Nothobranchius furzeri: one gene and its partner. The protein of the gene in region 1 purifies or fractionates together with the protein of each later gene. This does not show direct contact. Links are inferred from orthologs where the notes say so. Each region holds a gene or a part of one and is shown on either strand. Other genes may lie near its edges.

What was found.
Region 2: the proteins of per1b (region 1) and csnk1da purify together in Homo sapiens (affinity purification with mass spectrometry; 4 studies listed by BioGRID and IntAct, counting the BioPlex papers as one, with this or other methods). This does not show direct contact. The link is inferred for Nothobranchius furzeri from reciprocal best matches to the Homo sapiens genes PER1 and CSNK1D.

Annotation. Positions count from the first base shown.
Region 1 is NC_091742.1:55,050,578-55,054,835, forward strand, and holds the start of per1b (period circadian protein homolog 1b), read right to left. Parts: upstream 3,055-4,258; 5' UTR 2,895-3,054; coding exon 2,548-2,894; intron 2,311-2,547; coding exon 2,057-2,310; intron 1,971-2,056; coding exon 1,849-1,970; intron 1,768-1,848; coding exon 1,566-1,767; intron 1,491-1,565; coding exon 1,296-1,490; intron 1-1,295. UniProt on the Homo sapiens protein: Transcriptional repressor which forms a core component of the circadian clock.
Region 2 is NC_091758.1:11,453,814-11,458,211, forward strand, and holds the start of csnk1da (casein kinase I), read left to right. Parts: upstream 1-1,398; 5' UTR 1,399-1,629; coding exon 1,630-1,705; intron 1,706-4,398. UniProt on the Homo sapiens protein: Essential serine/threonine-protein kinase that regulates diverse cellular growth and survival processes including Wnt signaling, DNA repair and circadian rhythms. It can phosphorylate a large number of proteins.

The DNA of each region.
Region 1 (4,258 bases):
CTCTGTGAGCTAGTCGCTGTATTCTGACCAGCTCAGACTCGTTGTGCAGCCTGCACCGTTTGATGGGGCAGCTTCTTTTACAGTTTATAACAAAGCTTAGGCTTATAACGATCGATGTCAGTCATCAAAAATCCTTTTCTCCAGGATTTATTTTCCAGATTTGGTCGTTTGTGTTGAATTTCAGCATCGATAACAAAAGTATCCATTTGTTTCCAGAACTTGGTTTGGATGTTTTGAAGACCGATATCATGAGAAGGATCGCTGAACGACCTCAGTTTGGAGAAATAGGTCAATTCTGATAGGAGAGATAAGCTAACGGCTAGGTACAGTTGGGCTAAAAACAAAAGTGGGCACCGTTGTCACGAAACGTGTCAAGAAATTGAAAATAAATTCATGTAAATGCTCATTTATAAACTAGCTATGGCTGCAGACTTCACCTGATCAGATTGGTGATTAATTTTATTTTTTAGCAGAAGTTGACGCAGCTAGCTTTAACATGTCCGACAGGAACATCATATTTCTGCTACAACATACATGATGAAAGGTCATTTAACTATGCCAACTGATTAAAAGTTCCCTATGTAAGGAAGCCAGCAGGTTGCATCGAGTCACTGACTAGTGTCAGCATCTTTACAGCAATCCTCATACTAAGCAAGCATGCAGTGACAGTGGAGAGGAAAACTCCCTTTTAACAGGAAGAAACCTCCAGAGGTTTCAGGATAAGCAGCCACAATCATAAGATTAGCTTTGGTCAGTTAGCTTGTCAATCTGACATTAGTCTCCATTTCTCCAAACTGAGGTTGTTCTGGGAGTTATCTGCAAGTTAGTTGTTTATAAACGTTCTACAGAGCTAAACATCAACACTAACTTATTTAGAAATGTCAAGATTCATCTTTTGAGGGCCGATACTGATTTCTGATTCCTGTACCGAAGACCTGCCGCTACAGATTTGTTTTAAAAGATCCACAAAAAGCAGAAAAGCCATTTTAAAAATCGGATTATGTTCGTGGAAGTCAAAGACTTCTAGCGTAAATCAGCAGCGGTGAGATGAAGGGTCGGGAAAACGTCTGATTATTTCAGCTCGACCGCGCTGCGTTCACAACTTAAGAGACAATCTGATTTTTAAAGTTCAGATTATCAATACGGACTCACTTCCTCATCCGGTTTCTTGGTGCATCTCTGATATACGAACCTCCTATGACCAGATGTTAATGGTTAAGTCTAGAGCGATGACACGCTCTCATCGCTTTAGGAGCTCTGTCAGAGGTGTAACCGTCTGAGCTGTAGCTGCACACCTTCGTATCCAGAGTGGACCCTCTCAGCGATGAGCAGGCAGCAGGGCTGTGGCTCGGCGGCGTCCGAGTCCCTCAGGGTGAGCCGGTAGGGCGTCAGCCGAAAGGGGAAGTACCTCATCTCGCCCCCCTGGGCCCGGTCGGCACGGATCCGACAGAACATGGACTTCTCCTGAGTGCAGTCTACAGGAGGAGAAGCTGGAGGGAGCACAGAATCTGTTAGGTTTCTTGTTGCAGCTCCCAGTGAATTAACTCTGGTTTCAGGCAGCTGACCTGAGCCGATGCAGGAGGCCCAGGACGGCAGGCGGCACGGCGCTGTGCCGCTGTAGAAGGTGCTGACGTCCTGCGGGGCCAGGAGCTCTGAAAACACGGCTCCCTGGAGACACTCGGGCTTGCAGCGCAGCAGGGACGAGCCCTGGGGGGACACGTACACCACTTTCCCCGACAGGAACGACACGGCCATGGAGAACGTGTCCTGGGAACGACCAGACCCGGGTCAGTCCACCACACCACAGCTTCATTCTAACCCTGAAGTCAGAAGGGTGTTGAATCTCACCGTGTTTTTGAGAGTGTACTCTGAAGTAATGTTGTCCAGCTCCTCGATGGTGAAGGCGGACAAGTCCAGGCTGCAGCCGTGGCACTCCTCCACGCTCCACTGGTGATAGTACTCCCTGTTGGCTGGGGAGGCAGAACGAGTCCAAGTCAAAACGCTCAAACCAGCCCCATCCACTTTCTTTCCCTAAAAAATAAGCCCCGCCTCTCACCTCGGACCTGTCGGACACACTGGAGAGCGTATTTGAGAGCGCTCAGCGTGCTGGAGTGACCCTTGGCTTTGCGCTCAGCTGGCAGGCGGACCTTCAGCTCCTTGATGGCCTTCATGAGCTCCTTCTGCGTCTGGAGCCTGGCCGACTGGTCGCTGCTGCAGCCGGAGGTGGAGCGGGGCTCGTGCTCCGAGCTGTTGGACAGCAGGCTGTAGGCCAGAGAGCCGTTGGGGGGGGACAGACTCTGGAAGTTGGGGCTGGAGAAAGAAGAAAAACTTTTAATAAAATAGAAGATCAAAGTCAGGATCAGGGGGATCGGTTTTCTTGGAAGTAAAATGCAAAAGACATGAATCTTTTGTCTGTGGTTTGTCGATTCAGACGCTGAGGGCAGAACTTCCTGGAATCATCTGAGCAGCATTTTCGGTTTCTGACGCGACAGATAAACGGATCTCAGCTAGACGGTGTGGCGTTTACCCCACCCCCGCCCCTCCTACCTCTTGCTGTTGTCTGTGGTCTCCAGCATCACCCCCGAGTCCTTCCCGTTAGAGGAGCTGTGGCTGCGGGAGCTGCTGTTCTCCCTCGCCATCTGGCCCTCGCTGTCCCTCTCTCCAGAGTCGTTCCCGCTGGACAGTCCATCCGTGTCGTCCGAGTTCAGCCCCCTTTGGTCTCCGGACGGGCTGCCTGATCCGGACCCCTCCCCTGGGGACGATCCCCCTGCAGCTGCAGCTGTGACATCACACTGGTCACAGCTGGACTTCTGCTCATTTAACTGCTGCGACTCAGCTTCCTGGTCCACCTGTGTGCTGCTGCTGGGCGTTGATGTGGAGCTGTCATAACTCATACTAATCTAGAATGAGGCCACGCAGCTCAACTGGGGCAACTGGGGGAGTTAAGTGGGACTACTGTTTAAGCACAAGTGCAACATAGCTGTTAATTGCTTATAAAGAAAAAAAGAAATGTTTTGTTTTTTTTGCGGGGAAAAACAAAAAAAGGTTTTGAAAAATGCCACTCGGGTCTGGTCTTGAGAGGACTTGTTGCTCACAAGTCACGCAGAGAGCAGATGAATGTGCTGTTATGCAACAGCCTTTGGCACAAGCGCTGGGACAGATGGGAGGAGAGAGACGGAGAGGCAGTGTGAAGAACCAGATGCTGGTTTGCAACACGAAACAGGGAAGGAAACCACCGGTCTTCTCTTCAGAGACGCGCTGCTCTGGGAGCTAAAAGGACACCTGGGAATGAAAAAGCAGAACGAAAAAGCAGCATTAGAGGTTTTGCAGCACTTCTGAAAAAGATCTAAAAAGATAAAATTGCATTTCTTCCACAAATGTCGTTTGAATCAAGGAGCTGAAGCCAACCCCAACGTGGAAGTACCAAAAACTGCAGTTCCCACCTGATCCACTAGAGGCCAGATCCAGAAGGGAGCACGTTCCCATCGACTCCCATGTTAAAAATGCTAACTTCATAGCAGAAATCAACATTTACAAAAACATTTTAGGGTTGATAGGTCTGGCGTACAGTCATGACACCTCTGACAGGTGAGTTTCTTTGGTTTAGTAATCTGTTTAGATGTAACTGGTGAATGGCCCGTATCTGATTTAGTGCCTTTTAGAGGTCTAGAACCCCCCAAGGCACTTTACAACACAATCAGTCACCCATTCGCACACACATTCAAACCCTGGTGTTGATGAGGTACGATGTAGCCACAGCTGTCCCGGGGCGCACTGACAGAGGTGAGGCTGCCGAGCACAGGCGCCACCGGTCCCTCCGACCACAATGAAAGCTTGAAATTATGAATATGTGGGGGCGTGCCCTTTTAATTTACAGGTATCAGATGAGTCAACAGTGCTAGCGCTAGCAGCTCATCCCCCTGCTTGCTCCGGGGAAGGCCTGATCAGTCTCGTGTTAAAAGTGTTATAGCCTAGAAGGCAAAGGGTGGCAGAGTTACTCAACCACAATTTTATTGCCAAAAGCGTCCACCAACCTCTGTTAGCTTTGTTTAGCTCATAGCTACATCAACTCAGCCCTGCTCTCAGCTCCATTTTGGTATTTTCCAGGAGTGATGAGACACGGCGCAGAGGGTTTGTCTAATTATATCAACAGTCAGTGGCTTGAATGCCAATTAGGCCCTGGCCACTTGCTCACTATATCTACCGTGCCTCTAAATTTAGGCTCCACCCACTTGCTTACATGCCTGCCTGTGCTCCA
Region 2 (4,398 bases), on another chromosome or scaffold:
TTATACATATAAAATTTATCTCCCACGTCACATGATGCAAATCTGTTCCATTTAACCATTTTCTTTGACCAAGGAAGGACATTGTCCTTGTAATATATTTAAAATTATATTATATTATATTATATTATATTATATTATATTATATTATATTATATTATATTATATTAAAACCAACAGGGAGTCAATTGGTGTGTTCCATTGGGGGACTCGAATATTCTAACTTCAGAGTAGGAACAATTAGCTGGAACGCTCCCAGAAGTCAGATGACCCTCTGAAAGTCTGGGAATTTGTTTTTCTAACTTCAAGGTTCAATCTAGCAGCTTCTCATAACAACAGTAGCTGTGGGTGAAGGAGTTTATTTTACAAGACACCCTTGTAAGGGTGCATCTAAAATCAGTGCTACACGTAGACTAGTGCTATATTTGACACCAAAAGTATGGTTCTGATAATGTCAAAGTCTATAATAGACATTCTATAGCTTAATCTAAATTAAGCACTACACTTTATAAACAGCTCTGCATAATAACTTTTAAGTTAGGAGAAAATAAAATAGTGTAAATAAGATACTATGTCATAATATAATTTCATAAGCAACCTAAGAGGAAAGCAAGCATCCATGTGTGGCATACAGACCCCCTTACGCTGTTTACAGATCATTTTTCGCTACTTTATGTTGGGTGAGATTGCATGGGGCATGTGCACACGACTGGTGTGCACCCATGTAGCCGTATCTCAGCTTAACTTGGAAAAACAACTTAAACTAAGCTGACCTGAGCCGTTTTTCCATTGCAGAATTTCTTGGACATTTTTTACGGTTTTAACTTTTTACATTCAACAACGTTCAACATTAATTCAGGCAAGATTTTCTGGTGTTATTTCACAACTATCTAGGTCTTGCCTAATTTTATTTGAGTTTTTACAAGTTCATGCGAGATGGACAGTGCATGATGGGCAGAGGCCAAGAGGACAAAGGAAACAATCTTTTGTTGTGACTGACCAGACACAATGATTTAGTGAAGATTGGTCTCTATCAGTAAACAAGAACAGAGGTAATGTTCTAGTAGCTATTAAAAATGTTTGAGTGTTGTATTTGCAATACAAAAAGCTTTATCGTTATTTTACGCTTTTCATATTGCTACATTTAATCTGCACAAACCGTACAAACAAAGGAACAAAACGTTACTAATAGGTGTATCTTCACTAACATGCTCTCTGGTGGATTCCTCTCCGCTCATCTTGCCAGGAAGTGACGTCAAACTCCTCCGATAAATTGCCTAGCAAGCTCTAAGCTAGTATCTGTAAGCCAGAGTACCGGAGCTGGTACCTAGCTTCGAAATCCAGCTTCATCCGTGTAAAATAAACGCGTACTGGTTTTTAACAATAGCAGGAGCAGAAAGAACAAGCGCTGACCTTTCCGACAAGCATCGTATTGTTTATAGATAATGTTAATAATATTGTGAAAAAGGAGGCGAAAAAGAAGCCCACAAATCCTGAGAAGACGAAATATATCGCTAAAACAGGATTTTGGATTCATATTTTTTTAATATTGTGTTGCGTTTGAACAAATTAGTTTTGTTACAAATATTGGAGCTAACGAGTGTAGTTGCTAGCCTGTCAGATTTTGTCAACATGGAGTTGAGAGTCGGAAACCGATACAGGCTGGGCAGAAAAATTGGAAGTGGATCATTTGGAGACATCTACTTGGGTATGTAATTTTCACGTTTCTTTCTGTTCACTTCGGCATTAAAAGAGGATAAAGGCCGGCTATTGTAAAGTTTAATCGAGTTTAATTGTGCTCGACTTTGGTAGCAGTTGTCTTTTGTGAGCGTCGTAATAATGAATACTGTGTAAAACAACGAAACTGACGCTAGCTGTGAAGCTAAAGGCTATGTTTAAGTTCCTGTTTCTTTTTTCCTTGTAAACGACGTTAGTCTGTGAGCAAAATGACCGACCAGACCGTGGTTTCAGAAACACTTGCATTTTTACTGGGTGAGAGTTTGTTATATTTACCCATTTACTGACGGTGAAGTATAAGGGAGTAGAATACATTAGGATATACTTTATTGATCCCACAGTGGGAAAATCCACTCGTTAAGGCAGCTCATACAGAGAAATACAGACTGTAGACAATTAATGCAGGTTGGCTGCTTTAAAGCAAAGATGAAGGTGATCCATTCATAGTTCACTACAACTAAAGCATAACCAGAAAAATAAAATGCCTACATTGAATCAAAGCATACTTACGTTTATTCTTGAGTTATATTCATAATAGTTCCAAAGAATAAATGTCCTTTATTTATATATAGCGCTTTCTACAATCCCCAAGGCATGACACACCCTTTCACACTGTTGATGATGAGCTACATAGCAGCCACAGCTGTCATGGGGACACTGATGGAAGCAAGGTGTCTTTTATAGGTTTTAACACCAGTTATGTGATGAAGCTTTTACTCCACAGATATAATTACTTATTAGGTGAAAGCAATTTGTGGATGAACGTGTGTCGATGACCAATACCTTTAAAAGTGACCGTTTTACTACTTGATACTGCTCATACACATGGTCAGAGATATATATACATTTCTACGTCCAAGTACAAGATGGTAAATACTAGGGTTGGGAATTGAAAACCGGTTCTTGTTGAGAACTGGTTCCCACAGTTGCAGTTCCTTGGAATCATTTGCCATTTTTGCATACGATTCCATTATCAATTCCATTTGGCGCAAATTACATCACCACTCATGTTGTGTAGCTTAAACGAGCTACGCGTTTAAGCCTGAGTCATGCTTCTGCGTCAGCTCCACAAGGGACAGACATGCACGGATTGATAGAAGCGTTTTACTGTCATACTTCCCCGTTTGCCCAAGGGGTGTTGCAAAGCAATTCTCTGCCAGGACAACATCGAGTTCTATTTGTTCCGGGAGCCACTTCTGGGACACGTCAATTCCCGCAGTTCACATAGTGCGAGACAGGAAACCACACGGTTTCAGTGTAAAATACCCGGTTATTTTCAAAATAAAATGCAACGTTACAATGTTATATATAACTTACGTCAGTAAGTGTGACCGAACAGCTTTGTTTACCACCAGTTTCTTTCGAGGAGTGCAACGGTGCGATTCTTCGCAGGGGTTGTGATCTCTCGATGAGGAAGGTGTCGGAAGTCTTGAGGGATTTTAGAATCTCGCGGGTACAACGAGGCACAGCGAGGAAGCCGTGCCGCGACCAAGACTCTCCCGGTGTGAAAAGGACCGCTTTAAAGTTCGCGAGTGAGCCGCTCCGCTGCTGTTCCGTTCCGCTGATACTTGCAGTGTGAAACCGGAGTCAGGCTTTACTGGGAAGGAAGAATGGCCTCTAAGTGGCACAAACGCTCAAAAGTTTGGGTATCCTTTAAGAGAAAGGACAACAACAGGGAAACTTGAATTACTTGCAGAATGTTTATTTAATCAATGGAGAATACACTACAAACATGCAATAGCATTTACGTACAAAATATGCGAACACTTAAAGTGAATGTCTTTGTTTTGACCAGCTCCAGAGACTAGTGAATTTCAATGCAGCAGCAGTGGTAATGTTTTCACGTCGTCTTCTGTAGGGCTGCCACAAATGACTAAATAGTCGACTAATCATCAGTTTTGTTGATGATTAGTCCAGGATGCTCTAATATACCCATCATTAGCTTCTAGTTTGAAGTAGGGAAATTATATGCAATTAAATTGTGATGTGACAAAAAAGATTTTCTAATCGCAAAGGCTGCGATTTGACTGGCAGAGAGTGGTTAGCACATTGCTAATATACATTGAAAAACCCTACGGGATGCTATTGATAATATCACTGATTACATTCTTACAAATTATAATTTAGGAACATGCTAAATGATTACTTTTGGAGTCTAATAAAAAGCAAAAACTGCCATCAATCAAAAAAGTACAGACAGATATTTTAATAAATCCAGAAAACACAAGAGACTTTAACTCCACTGAGGTTTGGCTAGCAGCTATGGACGCAACTGAACTACAGAAGCTCTGCATAGACAAGACGTCAAAAACATTAAACACTAAAGAGTAGGGCTGTTCAATTATGGCAAAAATGATAATCACGATTATTGTGACTGAACTTGAGGTCTCGATTATTTAATGTTGATTGATTTTATTTGTTATTTGTTCATAAAATTGCTCAGGGCACAATCGGGACAAAGAAGAAAAAGAAAGAAACCAGATCATAAAAGTTATTCCTGATTCCTAGAATAAAAAGATCAGTATAGTTGCTCAAAGTTTATGACTCAAGGGCTGTAGACCTTGTTTTCACTCGTTTAAGCCTAACCAGTATAGACCAAAAAACCAATATATTGCAAATGCTGACAGGAAGAATTATACTGTGGCATTTATAACATAAACATCT